Linked DNA regions of Arabidopsis thaliana. The protein of the gene in region 1 interacts with the protein of each later gene in a biochemical or structural test. Each region holds a gene or a part of one and is shown on either strand. Other genes may lie near its edges.

Region 1 (8,514 bases):
TTGAGATTCGAGAATCTGCCACCTACGTACCAAGTCGTACCGTTGATTTTTGTTTTTTCACTTGGCAACAAAAAATTTAGTCGATTGTGTCTTCATTTTATTTATTTTTTTGGGGAGAAATTTCGAGTCTTCATTAGTTCATTTTATGTATGTTAGTGTTAATTTGAGTTTAGCCGATCTAGAAGATATTTGTAAATGGAAATATTCTTTTTTGGTTTTGTTATTGTAAAATTATATAATTGTAAAAAAGTTATGGTTGCTAGCAAAAAAAAACAAAGTAGTTACTGTTGAGCTAGGATTTTTAGGTAATGTAGGCCATTTTTCATTGACATTGTAAAATTAATAGTTGAAAGTCATAGTGAGAATGCGAATTATGATGCATGTGAATACTGTTTTAGATAAGGACATGCAGATTGTAACATAAAATAATTGAGATAGATGCATACGTATATATCATTCTCAATGCTAAACGTTCAATTTTGTTTTCATATTAGTGCTTATATTAATAGTAGATTTGATTTGACAATTCAAACTCACGAAAGATATATATCGCATTACGGGTCAACAAGCACAACAAAATTCTACCGACCATTTTGGATTTTTGTACTTGATACTGATTGATCTTCTTATGCATCATAAATATTGGCTATATCCTCTACATAGTATAATAGAACTTAAACTTTAAACTTCTGCCCTAAGGTCGGTACAAGTCCGACATGGTATTTTTGTTATAATAACCAAATGAGTAATGCTAAAGTCCAACGTGGTGTTTTAGTTTATGTTTGCATTAGATCAAGGACGATGTACGTGTAAGAGAAAACCAAAAAAAATGCAAGAAAATAATATAATTAAATACAATGTAGTGCACAACTTCATTTGTTGTGCTTTGTGATCAAGCGAGGATTTGTAGAAATGGTATTTACAGATTTACGTTGTCATCATTGATTACAGTTTTGCATTTTGTAGCTAATAAAACATCTTGTAACGAAAAAGGTAAACAAAGGTTGGCTAGTGGGAGGTACACAAGCTTGTGGTGAAGAAGGAGGATGAGCTTTAAGCCATTTGACCGAAAGCCCGACAATGCCAAACTCAAAACTTTATAACGCTAAAACAGCCGCCCATAACAAGAAACAAGTTCAATATCAACACGTCGCCTTTATTGATCTTACCAATAAAGGTCGATTAATTTGTTTTCTTTCAAAGGCTTTTCGGAACCGTTTCTTTGTTTTGCTTAGTTCCAAAAAATTGGTATGTCACAAACTTCGTACCAAAGCAAATAAAAGCAGTAAGTGGAAGAGAACAATCCACGTTTTGTGGCGGTCTCACCGATAAATCTTTTTTTTTTTTCCTTTCTTAGCAAGAATTACATCTATTAATTTTTCGACAATCGAGTAAAATCATAAATCAAAGCTCGGCTACAACACAGTTCCAAAGAAAAGAAAATATATGTTTAACAGAGAAAAACTGTCCAGAGATGATTGTATATATATTCTTTTGGTTCTTCAAATTTAGAACAAAGATGTAAAGGCAAATTCAGAAAAAGTCTCTCTCTCTTGATCAATGTTTTGTGAACATTCCATCCATCAAGGAAGAGAAATCAAAGTCTTTGCCTGATTGTGAAGATGGTGTGGTGCTTGTTGGTTGGGTTGCGGATGATGACTGAGGTTTACCGGTTGAGTTTGGGGTCATACCGTTCACTTGATTAGCTTGACCCATTGTGTAGAAACTGCATTATTAATAACAACCAAAGATCATATGAGAGTTAGTTAGGTTAAGCACTTTTGATAACGTTATGATGTTTTCAGAAGAAACAAACAAGATGCAGTTTTGTGTGCATACCTGGATGATGGGTATTGTAGAGTGTTCTCTTGCGGTTGTGCGGGTCTCGTGTTCATGTTTGCGTTCATATTCATGTTCTAAAATTATGGCGATGTAACAGAGAGCAAGAATTAGTGAGAATTTTGCAAGAACTTTGGTCAATGGTAATATTGATCTTGCTTAAAAAAAGTAAAGGGGAGATCTTACTTGCATAAGTTTCTGGAGATCAGCTTGACCACCTACGGGGTTAGTCATTCCGGGGATCTGGTAGCCGCCGGGGTTTGACCAATTTGCAGAAGCTACGTTAAGAGCATTAGCAATAGCTTGTTGATTCACGCCGTTTGGAGTGCCTCCAGCAGCTTTCGCTGCAGCCATGTAAAGGGCTTGCTGCTGAGCGAGCATAGCAACCTGTTGCTGATGCATGGCAAAAGGCGATACTATATTCGTCTGTAATCAAATAGAACACACAGAGTTATATCACTTGAATCTGCTCTGGTGTTCCAAATGTCCCGTGTTGAAGAAATCATAGTAAGTGATAACAAAACACAAATCATATCATTCGCTATATTTGTAAATGTAAGTTAAATAATGATACAAAAACGAAACTTGGAAAGCTGAATATCAACAAAGCAGTGAAATCTGAGAAGCGTATATAATTAACTAATAATTTACCTTCTCAAACAGGCTCATGATATCGCCTTTCACATCTTTTGGTGCTTGTTGAGTTGTTAAATTAGGTGTGTCCTTAAACAAATCCTCAAAGTCAGAAGATGAAGCTGGAGGAGAACTGCTCTCAGCAGGCTTGGCTGTGACAATTTTCTCTGCCGTTTGACCACTTCCAGCAGCTACAGTTTTAGGATTCAGAAATTAATCTATTACTCCAAAGCATTTTCAAAAGAAGAACAATTGACATAAAGTTAACAAGGATAGGAAAAATGTGCCACGATGTTAGATTATCACATGCTAGATAGATACATACACTGAAAGCCAGCCCATGAGTTATCATCGGCAGGAGTATCGCCAGGAGTTGCCTCTGAGGTATTTGTAGTCGAATCATCCATTGATAGCATGTTAAACAGATCAGTAGCAAAATCCACCTTTGGAGGATCTGATGCTGGTGCAACATTTACTGCTTGTTTCTCCCTCTCTACTGGAGTAGCTGCAGACTCCATTTTCTGCTGTGGCTTTATAACCTGTCATTTTTAGCATCATGTATCAGAAAAACCAGGGTTTGGATACTGTAAGAAAGACACGTTGACAGATTATGAGGCTCTAAAAACACAGTGAGTAAAATAATGATCTGACAGCTACAGCATATGCATTGACAAAAATAATGATCTCATAGCTGATATCCTAAGATTATTAAATAAGATCAAGGAATACGGATCCTTAATACTGATGAGTAACTAAAGGTATGGCTCTTTAGTTATACAGATCTTCTGAGAAGTATGTTTGGTACCTGACTGGGTCCTTGGGGAGGCACGGGAAGATTTATTCTCGTTGCAGCAACATTATTTCTTGTTCTAGATGCTGGAATAGTTTTCCTCTCCTCAAACAAATTTACAGGACTACTACTATGTCCATGCTCATATCCCGGCCCACTTCTCTCCACAGATTTCCGCCGTTCCTGCTCGACTCTAGGAGGTGATCTAGCCTTTTCCCCTCTAGAAACCCATCTCTTCTCTTCATACCTAGAAAAGTCATATGTCATAAGAATGATTTCAACGTCCATATGAATAGCAAGATAGACAATTCAATGAGGTGGAACTAACTGAAAAGTTTGTATAATGAAAAAGAGAGATACATACTTTGCACGTATAAAATTCTCAATTCCAACTCTATCATAGTTTGGGGGTAGCTCTGCTTCCCAGTAACTATTTGCTTTATCATTTCCCATTGCTGCATGCAAATAAAAGATTATATACTTTACATTGCGTAACAACCCATGAATCAGCCATAGAGCATTTAGTTTAAAAGACACTTACACTGTATAAATGCAACCTGCTCGGGGAGCCATGTGTCCAGAGTGGCAGATCGAACCTGCACTCATTAGCCCAGTCAGGTGTTTTGGTAGAAAATAAAGTAGCTTATGCTGCTAAGGTTAACATCTACTTGACAAAAGGACACGGCTCATACAAAAATCAGAGGGCGAAATCAAATCATGTACTTTTGCACAGAGTTGCTTGAAGTTCGTGTGTAAACTGTATCGACGACAATGGGAGTACAAGAAGGTGGGGAGATTTAATGCATTCATGTCAAACTTTCCAGCTCTTGTGATGGAAAATACAAAATGAAATTGCTAATACAAAAACCAAATTGAAAATTTGTGCAGAGAATTTGAGCCAAATGGAATGAGTTATTCATCGAATTAATATCTGAGCTTTCGTAAAAAAATGCAGCATCAAGAAAACAAATGTAGAAAGGAAAGTGAGAGACTACCTTCGATATGTGTACCCCGAGACTCCTGTGAATCCCAGAACATTGCATGCAGATAAAGATACCTAAATTAACACTAGCCCATCTTGGACCTCTGCAAAGCAAATGGAACAGTATTAGCAAATACATACATGAACCAGCATAATAATGCTGAAAATTCACATCAGGTAGAAAACTATACTTTGTTTTGCAGTCAGCACATTCTCTGTTCTCTGGATGTTTAAGAAGCCCTTCAAGAATCTGCAGATAAGTAGCACCAAAATCAAATGAATATTCAAGCAATAGACTACATAAACGAAAAAATCATACGTCGCAAAACATAAAGAAGAATCTACACATACAAAATATAGAGTATCTCAAGAAAACTTCAAAATTATCAGAATTGACATGTTTAACTAACCAAAATGAATCAAAGTTCTCATTGCAGTATGAGATAAGTTTCGTCAATGAATGAACACCAAAGTTCTCGAAGACTCGACATACAACATCATTCCTAATATCCTATACATGTATGCATCACCAATCCCACAAAGCTATCCCAACTACAACTAATAGTTTCAACATGGCAAATAACTCAAAGACTACCAAGCACAAATGAAAATCCCTATGGGACGCTAAGCTCCTTGGATCCCTGTGTTCGATTCTTTCCAAAATCAAACAATTGAATACGAATTTCTATAGGAAAACACTAGAATTCAAGCTCCATGAAACTGTAACATTCAATAAGCCGACGTTGAATATAAAACAATTCAAAAACCCGATCGTGATCAACTATTGTCCTAGACAACAAATCGAAATAGAGAAACTGATTTTCATTGCTGATGAATAATAATTCTAGCTCAATCGATCGAAGAAGATAAGGATCGACGATACAAATCCTCTCCTAACTAGAGGAAACCGAAGAAAATGAAGGAAGGATAGCTGCTAATGCACAGATCCAATCGAATTAAGATCGATCATATATTGTTGGCAACCAAATTCAAATATATGACGACAAATCCACAAAGCTCGGAGAAAATAAAATAAGAGAATCTGAGATTCGAGATTAGAGAGAGACCTTTCTATGGCGGGCATTAAGCTCCTTAGAGACGTTGGCTTTCTCGTTCATGGCGGATAGATAAAATCAAAAGAAGGAGAATCGGAGAAAGAGGAAGAAGAAGAGCTGAAGAAAAATGATCTACGGAGACGACGAGGTCAAAATAGTCTTTTCCGCCTTCAGCGCTCTTCAATATCTCTCTCTTCTTCTTCCTCTCCGAAAATTAAAAATCCTTTTTTCTTTGCCCTTTGAGAACGAGCGACCAAGAGAGAGAGATGGGTCAATACTTTTTGGACCGTTCAGATTATGGTACTGGTTTATTAATCCGGTTTTAGATTTCATTTTCAAAATTGAATATGGTTCGGTTTAATTTCATTTCGGTTTAAATTTTCAAAAATAATTCGGTCACTCGTGATTGCAGCACCTGAAAATTTTCAAAGAAATCTACACATGAATATTTGTGAAAGTGTAATCATATAAAATTGGTTAATTTGTGACTAAGTGGGTTTTGATTTATCAAAAATAAGGTCGGTTTATTTGGCGGTTTAAGTGGTTTTTTTGATTGGTCATATATAAGCATTAGAGTGTTGCGGGTGGAAAATAAATCACATGGCCATCTCATCACCTGTTATGTCTGTATCCACTTTGGAGTGGTTGTTGTATTGATTCCAATTTCTTTGTTTATTTATGTGATGTTTATGGGACATATTTTATTTGCTAAGATTTTTATTTGATGTGACGATGAGTCAACGAATGTTCCAACCAACACAAATTTCAATTTAAACCCAAAAAAATAATTATATTATTATCTCTTAGATTCCTAATTTTTCAAACTGATATTTGTTTGTCAATACGAACTATAATCCTAACATTCGACAAACTCTAATTTAATAGGTATACATTAGGAACTATAATACATTGTGTGTGAATAAACCTAAAAAAGTTTTGTAGTCTAATGAGAAGTGGTCTCTCGCTGGCTCTAAACCTCATAATCGGTTTGGTCTAAGTAGCACCTTTACTTATCTGTATGTGGAATATCATCGGGAGTTATCACAAATATAATCCCAAAGCCTTTTGAAATTTCTAACTTCTCTAACTTCATCCACATATATATACTTTCCAATTTTGAAAATATATAGATCCACTTAGTATATTTCCATTTTAAGTCGCCATTAGAAGAGAGTTATGCTACCAACTTTGGCAATTAATATGCTTTTTAGGGGATGTGACGTCGCGATTATGATGGGATGAGCTTGGAAATATATGATCATCATAGCCATCTCTCTTTGTTATCAGTGCGAGGACCAACTTTTCAGGAGGATATTTGCACATCTAGAAGGAAGATTTTTCTCATATAGTAAATAGACGACTGCTTATTTTTGCTTCTCGAATTACTCTCCATAGCCTCTCTTCAAGTATTCTCAGATCTCAAACCCTCTGACACGTATAGAGACTTCCCCACATTTTGCAAACTTTAATTTCTTCTTAATCAGACTTAGCTTCAAGCTTTATCTCAATCATGTACATCTCACATTGTTTTTCTAAAATTTGAGGATATTGATTCTGGAGTATGTATTGTTATGTAAATAAGTATTTATAATTAAATCAAGTATATGGAAAATATATTCGAAGAAACAAACTTCATATAATAAGGTTTGAACGTGGTTAATTAAAATGATATCCAATTAAGATTGTATCGGATCTTGGTGGTTATTTATGTGAACATCTCAACAACTAGGGTTTTGTTTTGTTTACTCTTTCTTATTTGATTCTCTTGCAGCCTCGCTTTCCCCTAAAACACTTCTTATCAATGGCGCTGCTTCTCAACCAACCCTTGAAGCTACTATGCTTTCGGAGGAAACCTGTGTTGGTGAGATCATCTCCTCTTCTCTCTAATGATGGCTTATCATCTTCTTTGCTGCAAACTCCTCCTTGTTTCGTCGTCAGCGCTAAACGTTGTGGAAGACTTGCGAAAGAGGGAAAACTCGTGATTTTGAATCCTTATGAAGATGAATGCACTTCTTTGGATAAGAAGGTGCCTATGGCGTTGTTGTATGATAATGAACTTGTAACCATCGGTTCATCCCATGGCTGGATAGCTACTTTGAGTCAGGACGACGGACTACTGCGTCTCCAAGACGATCTAAACCCGGTTGCATCGGATACTAACCCGAAACGCATTCCCCTGCCTCCTCTTGTAACTCTCCCTCATTGCCAAACTCAAATCGTTACCAATGTGTCATTGTCCGCATCTTCTCCTGAGGATGAAGACTGTGTTGTGGCTGTCAAGTTTTTGGGACCTCAGCTCAGCTTTTGCAGACCGGCTCAAAGTAACTCCGAGTGGATCAACATCAGAATCGAAAACCCTTGTTTCTACTTATCTCGTGTCATGTACTCCAAGAAAGATAACATGTTTTGCATTCCCGGATCTGGAGGACACCTCATTGGAACATGGGATCTCCGCACACACAAGCATAATTTGCAGAGCTTGCAGTTTCAAAACCTTCCCAAGCTGACAAAGACCAAACAGAAGCTACTGGATTCATGTTGCAAGAGCGAGCACTTGGTTGAGTCACCAGCTGGTGAAACTTTCTTGGTTAAGTGGTACAAGAAGTCTTCAAGCAAGATCATCAAGGGTATTGCGCAAATGAAAACACAAGCTTTAATGGTGTTCAAGCTTGACGAACAAGGAAACGCGGTTTACACTCAAGATATTGGAGATCTCTGCATTTTTCTTTCAAAGTCTGAACCTTTTTGTGTCCTTGCTAGCTCTTTTCCCGGACTGTGCCCTAACAATGTCATACTCTTTGACTGTGACGAAGGCGGCTTTTTCGATCTGGATGATTCCACCATCATTACTGATGTGATGCCTACATCATTCAAAAGCAATTACCTTATGCCACCCCAAAAACTAGATTAGTACCGTAGTTTGGAACTGAGTCTTTTCTTTTCTTCTCCTATATTATTACCATGGTCATCATTGGTAATGGTCACTAGTTTTATCTTGGAACGGAACCCTTTGTTTAGTTCCATCCTAAATCTCTATTTGCTTAGTTACATCATGAGTCTGCTTTTGGTTTTCAACAGGTTCTTTTCTACTACCTTTGTGTGTCTCTCTATAGCATATCTAGTAACCACTCAACATCCTTCACAAGCATCATTCTTTCAGGAAATATCAGAAAATCCCCATTATTTTGATGTCTCTGTTTCATCATGTCCCTCAC
Region 2 (5,525 bases), about 21 Mb from region 1:
GTCCAAGATTTTCTTCGGTCGCATCTGCAAAAGTGTCTTCTTTTACCGTGGGACAAACGGCATCCTCTGAAGCTAGCTGGAACAGCCAAACCGGTTTGCTCTCTAACAAAAACCGCCAAGGATCGGACAGAGATGGACGTAGAAGCAGCAAGAAAGGACCAAGATGGTTTTTTAGACGCAGGGCTTGTCCATGTTCTAGCTCCAAGTCCGTTCAGGTCCAAGAATCCAAACCAAGAATCGCAGTGCCCAAAACCGGTTCTGACCGAATCGTCTCGAACCGAATAGTTCATAGTCATCAGACGATATCTTCACCTGAGCCAATAAGATTAACGATCCCTTCAAACACTGTGACTCGGTCCATCGATTACACTGCAAACAAAGAAGCTAGAGCTCCAGTTAGTAATTTTAGCTTCCCAACTCTAAACGAAACTTCACAATTATCAGAAAATCCCAAGAATCCGGTTTTGAATCATATTAAACCGGTACGAATTGAACCGGCTCTGCTTCCGATTAAACCGGTTCTGAATCCTACGAGTCCCAAGGGAGTCATCATAGACGAAGAAGCCACAAGCGACGCAAGCTCCGATCTTTTTGAGATAGAGAGCTTCTCTACTCAAACCGCAGCTCGTCCATGGGCTCCACCAGTACGGGACTCGATGGAAGAGACCGTGTCTGAGTACGGTTACGAGCCAAGCGAAGCAAGTGTTACTTGGAGCGTTATGACCGCCGAGCCGGCCTCGGCCGTTGCAGCTAACTTCTCAAGAATTGCCTTGTCGTCATCGTCTACAGCATTTAGTGGTTACGATAAGAAGAGAACCGGTTTGTTGAACTGTCATTGTGAGAAGGCGGTTATGGTTAACGGCGATAAGCGTTTAGTGCAACCGGTTAAGAGCGTTGGTGTTCAAAACGACGTCGCGGGAAAGGTGTTGTGCAACAATGGCAGTTCTAAACTAAGCGTGACGAGTAGACCAAGGCAATGATGGATACCAAATCTTTGTTCTTGGTTTAGATCCGGTTTTCTCCAGTTATCTTGGTGTGTTTTGGATGCTTCTCGTGTAAAATTGCTCTGTTTTTTCTTCTTCTTTTTTTTGGTTAATATAACTTGTGTAATGATTAATGAAGATTATGGTTTGTGAAGTAAACAAAATCAATGTGTCCTGTATTTATCACAATATTGATCACATTTTTTTGTAATAACCGGAGTAAATCCCGGAGTGAAACCCAAACTAATCCTCAATACTTGTATGTTGTATTTAAGGCGTCTATAGTCAAGAAATAGATTCGTAGCCTTGACCCACATAGCGAATCCTCTATCCACTCGAACAAACCAATGGACCACAAAACACTTGGTTATACGATTTCTTTCTTTAGAAACCTCATCCACTACTTCTTTGAGGTCCCATGGAAACATCAATCTTCAAAGATTGTAGGCGGGCTGAATTGAGCAAAAGAAGATGCCCCATGTGTCTTTGTTGTAGGTACATTCAGAAAACAAGTGGTTCTTGGATTCAGGTGCATTACAGAGGAGACAAAAATTTCAAGAATATTCATGCCCCAATTCCTTAATCTATCACGAGTTGGGAACTTGGGAGATGATTCCAAGCCGTTACCCAAGAGATAATAAATGCATGCATAGGAATATAAACAACTTTATGCAATAAACAGACTGTAGTATTGGTCATCGATTTAGTTTTGTTTATTTGTTAAAAACATAATCCAGCATGTGTTTTTATCACATAAAACCAAAAAGAAAAATTCTCAGTTGATGAAGACGTTTAATTTCTGATTAGTCTTTCGTTTACTAAAAGCTTTATCTTTTAATTTGAATGCTTTTTATTTTGTTAAAGAGTTTACCATTGAAAGTTTGATTTCTTTTTTGGGGATATAACTTGTAAATATGAAGTCAAGAGTTAGGCTCGTAGGTGAAGTGAAGATGGTGCTAATAGCATAAATGGTTCGTCTCAAAAAGACTTTTCCGTTGCGTGCACGAAGTATATAGACGGTCCTTTAGGATTAAGGCAAATTATAGTTTGGTCAATTGACATTATTTTCAACAATGTATACGTTATATACATTCGTATATCATAGCATTTAAAGTTAATTAGCTCCTCTCTTCCCTTAGATAGCTAGATGGATTAGGTCTAAATATTTGGGAAAATGACTTCCCTTTTGAAGTTACGTATATATCCAAGTTAACCAAATTAATCATGAATCCATGACTTAGGATTAATTATGTCTTTCTCAAAAGTCTGATTTAAGGTTTAGTTTCTTGCTTGAAAGCATTAATAAGTCAAGAGTAAGCCATTAAAAAATGTTCCATAGCTTAAAAGCAAACTAGACTTGAAAATATAAATACTAATATCGTATGTAACTTGAACTTCACTACACGAAACCTCAATCATAAATACACATTAGCTCCAAAACCACAACACTGCACATGAAAACTAAACACACGTACACAAGAAACCCCAAAACATTTTGCCTAGAAAGTTGTTTAAATTACCTCTTAAACCTTAAGAAATCATATCCAGAAACTCAATGGATCAACAAGGGATGGTCAAGAAAAGACTAGCCGTTCTCGTCGGCTGCAACTACCCTAACACAAGGAACGAGCTTCACGGTTGCATCAATGATGTTCTAGCCATGAAAGAAACTATTTTGTCACGTTTCGGATTCAAACAAGACGACATTGAGGTGCTAACGGACGAGCCAGAATCAAAGGTAAAGCCGACAGGTGCCAACATCAAGGCTGCTCTACGTAGGATGGTGGATAAAGCTCAAGCCGGATCTGGAGACATCTTGTTCTTCCACTACAGTGGCCATGGAACTCGTATTCCTTCGGTTAAATCTGCTCATCCTTTTAAACAAGACGAAGCTATTGTTCCTTGTGATTTCAATCTCATCACAGATGTTGATTTCCGAGAATTGGTCAATCAACTTCCTAAAGGAACAAGCTTTACCATGATCTCTGATTCTTGCCATAGTGGTGGTCTCATCGACAAGGAGAAAGAACAGATCGGACCCTCTTCGGTCTCCAGCAACATATCTCCGGCTATTGAGACAACGAACAAGACTATAACATCACGTGCCTTGCCCTTCAAGGCAGTCCTTGACCACTTGAGTTCTCTCACCGGAATTACAACTTCCGACATCGGCACACATCTACTTGAGCTCTTTGGCCGCGATGCTGGTCTTAAGTTTCGGTTACCGGCAATGGATCTAATGGATCTTTTGGAGACTATGACGGCCCGTGAAAAACACGTGGACTCAGGGATATTGATGAGCGGGTGTCAGGCGGATGAGACGTCTGCTGACGTCGGCGTTGGGAACGGGAAAGCGTACGGAGCGTTTAGCAACGCGATTCAAAGGGTGTTGAACGAAAATGAAGGTGCCATGAAGAACAAGCAACTAGTGATGATGGCAAGGGATGTGCTTGAGAGACTAGGGTTTCATCAACACCCTTGTCTCTACTGCAGCGACCAGAACGCAGACGCGACGTTCCTTTCTCAACCTTGAATTTTAAACGTTTGCGTTGTTTTCTTTTATTTGTTTTATCACGTTTGCCTTTGGGGTTGTTGTAAATTGTTAACTGGTGGAATGTGTGTATTTTCTATTCTCTGTGGTGTACTCTAAAAGGAAAAAGGACATATAAAACTTGTTTAATAACATTTATCTTTTTTAATGGTACAAAAAGGTTTAATTAAAGCTTTTCTAGAGAATGTACTAATTTAGTTACCAAGTCAGCAGTATTGGAGCTAGAAGAACCAACCTCTTGGGTTGAAGAAATGGCAGCACCAGTCATTTTGTGCTGCCATTTTTCAGTAGGTCCCCACAAGAGTTTAACCCTCTGGCCTTTGATGTCAGTCCAGGAGGAGAGCTCAAGCATGGCCTTCTCAGCAGCTAGACGGGTAGTGTAAGTGAGGAAGGCACAGGTGCCTCCTCCTCGGTGGGGGAAGATAACAATAGATTCGATTTCACCATAGGGGCAGAAATGGTCTCGGATGTCCTGCTCGAGGACACTGGAGTTAATAAGTCTACGGATGTAAAGAGTTTTAATACTTTGATCCTCTGGTGGTTTCAAAGGGCCCGTGTTACAAGCTCTTGCAAGCACCTCGAGTACAAATGGGTTTTCTAACCTGCGGTGAAGAAAAATACATGAAACACACAAACAAACAAAGACTCGAGAATATATATACATCTATATATGTATGTAGAATAGCTTACCCAGAACGACCATGACAATCTAAGCCTCTGTTGATCTCATGGCGGTATAGACACATGGTACCTCTTGTACACTGGCGACCAGCGTCGAATAAAGGACAAATTGGTATGCAGTCTAGTTTCCTACTTTTATCCTCAATTTGGGCCATAAAAAACTACATTGAAGACAAACAATCAATATATCACCAGACCACGTAGATACAAGCAACTAGACGAAATTGGTAGCGCTAACTAATTCCTAAAACATAAGAAGAAGATTTACTCCAATATACGTACGTACAGAAAACATCAACATTTAATATGTACTTCGAAATTTTATTAAAATTATATGATTTTGATCAAGTACATGCAAGATTTTACAAAGGCCATACTAGAACAAAACTTCATGCCAGAATTGTTATCAGTTTTGTTAACTAGTTGTCCAACGGATCTCAATGTGAATAATGCCGTTTCTGGAATTGATAAGATGGTATTTCTGGTTGATCCTTCCATTGTCAACTACATCGTCCAGATTTATGTCTACATGTCCTAGTTCCTCCTATACAGAGATTAAGCAAAGGTATAATAAGTTGAAATGTCTCTGTCTGCTTTAACAGAGATTTTAACAGGCATGAGATCTTTACCTTGGATCGAAAGTGAAAGCCGGTTCCTTTACTCATGACCTCAACGCGTATACTCTCTTTCACTGGAGGCTCCTCTAGTGTAAACTGGAATTCCTCGTTCCATCGAGGGTCTCGTGTTTTCTTCAGCATCTGATCAAGAAAAAGGTAGCCAATATAACTCAAAATAGTTCTTAAGTAGCTTCTCAGCAAAATGCAGATTTAGAATTTTACCTTAGTTTTCTTCTTTTCTCCTCTGAAGAGAACAACAGCATAAGGGTTCGAGTGTTTCTTCTTGCCCTCGACATCTTTTGCAGATTGGACTGCAACCGAGAGTAGACCGGCTTGGCTGAGAAAATCATCGTCCTCTGATGATTTCTCTTCTCTGCTCTCTTTTCTACGCTTAATGCTTTCTTCTCTGAATGGCACATACCTGAGATCAACCTCTAATCTTCCTCTTTTTTTCTTGTCTCCAGAATCCATAACAACATTTGAGTTCTTAATCAGATCAAGATTAAACTCCTTCCTCTCACCCGGGTTAATCTTTTGCAAAGGGATCATCTGCATTCCTAATCTGTCGTGCCCACCGACCTATACAGATACAGAGCCGCTTTAGTAAGAATGGCATAAAATGTTGAACTAGAGAAGAAATGGGATCATTAGATGCATGGACCTTGTCCCAGTCAAAGACTTCTAGTTGAAGGA

What was found.
Region 2: of the proteins of AGD5 (region 1) and MC9, one has a biochemical effect on the other in vitro, tested with the Arabidopsis thaliana proteins (one large-scale study listed by BioGRID).

Annotation. Positions count from the first base shown.
Region 1 is NC_003076.8:22,055,705-22,064,218, forward strand, and holds AGD5 (ARF-GAP domain 5), read right to left. Parts: upstream 5,567-8,514; 5' UTR 5,363-5,566; coding exon 5,312-5,362; intron 4,495-5,311; coding exon 4,436-4,494; intron 4,349-4,435; coding exon 4,258-4,348; intron 3,859-4,257; coding exon 3,804-3,858; intron 3,718-3,803; coding exon 3,627-3,717; intron 3,510-3,626; coding exon 3,278-3,509; intron 3,012-3,277; coding exon 2,798-3,011; intron 2,664-2,797; coding exon 2,491-2,663; intron 2,266-2,490; coding exon 2,026-2,265; intron 1,917-2,025; coding exon 1,840-1,916; intron 1,727-1,839; coding exon 1,558-1,726; 3' UTR 1,282-1,557; downstream 1-1,281. Other genes in the region: AT5G54320 (hypothetical protein (DUF295)), read left to right, coding at 7,101-8,210. UniProt on the Arabidopsis thaliana protein: GTPase-activating protein (GAP) for ADP ribosylation factor (ARF). Mediates clathrin-dependent trafficking of vacuolar cargo from the trans-Golgi network (TGN). Promotes plant growth.
Region 2 is NC_003076.8:1,151,355-1,156,879, forward strand, and holds MC9 (metacaspase 9), read left to right. Parts: upstream 1-2,385; 5' UTR 2,386-2,538; coding exon 2,539-3,516; 3' UTR 3,517-3,686; downstream 3,687-5,525. Other genes in the region: PKS4 (phytochrome kinase substrate 4), read left to right, coding at 1-980; AT5G04210 (CCCH-type zinc fingerfamily protein with RNA-binding domain-containing protein), read right to left, coding at 3,701-4,136, 4,225-4,370; SYTC (Calcium-dependent lipid-binding (CaLB domain) family protein), read right to left, coding at 4,631-4,759, 4,845-4,973, 5,055-5,411, 5,494-5,525. UniProt on the Arabidopsis thaliana protein: Cysteine protease that cleaves specifically after arginine or lysine residues. Does not cleave caspase-specific substrates. Required for proteolytic processing of GRI.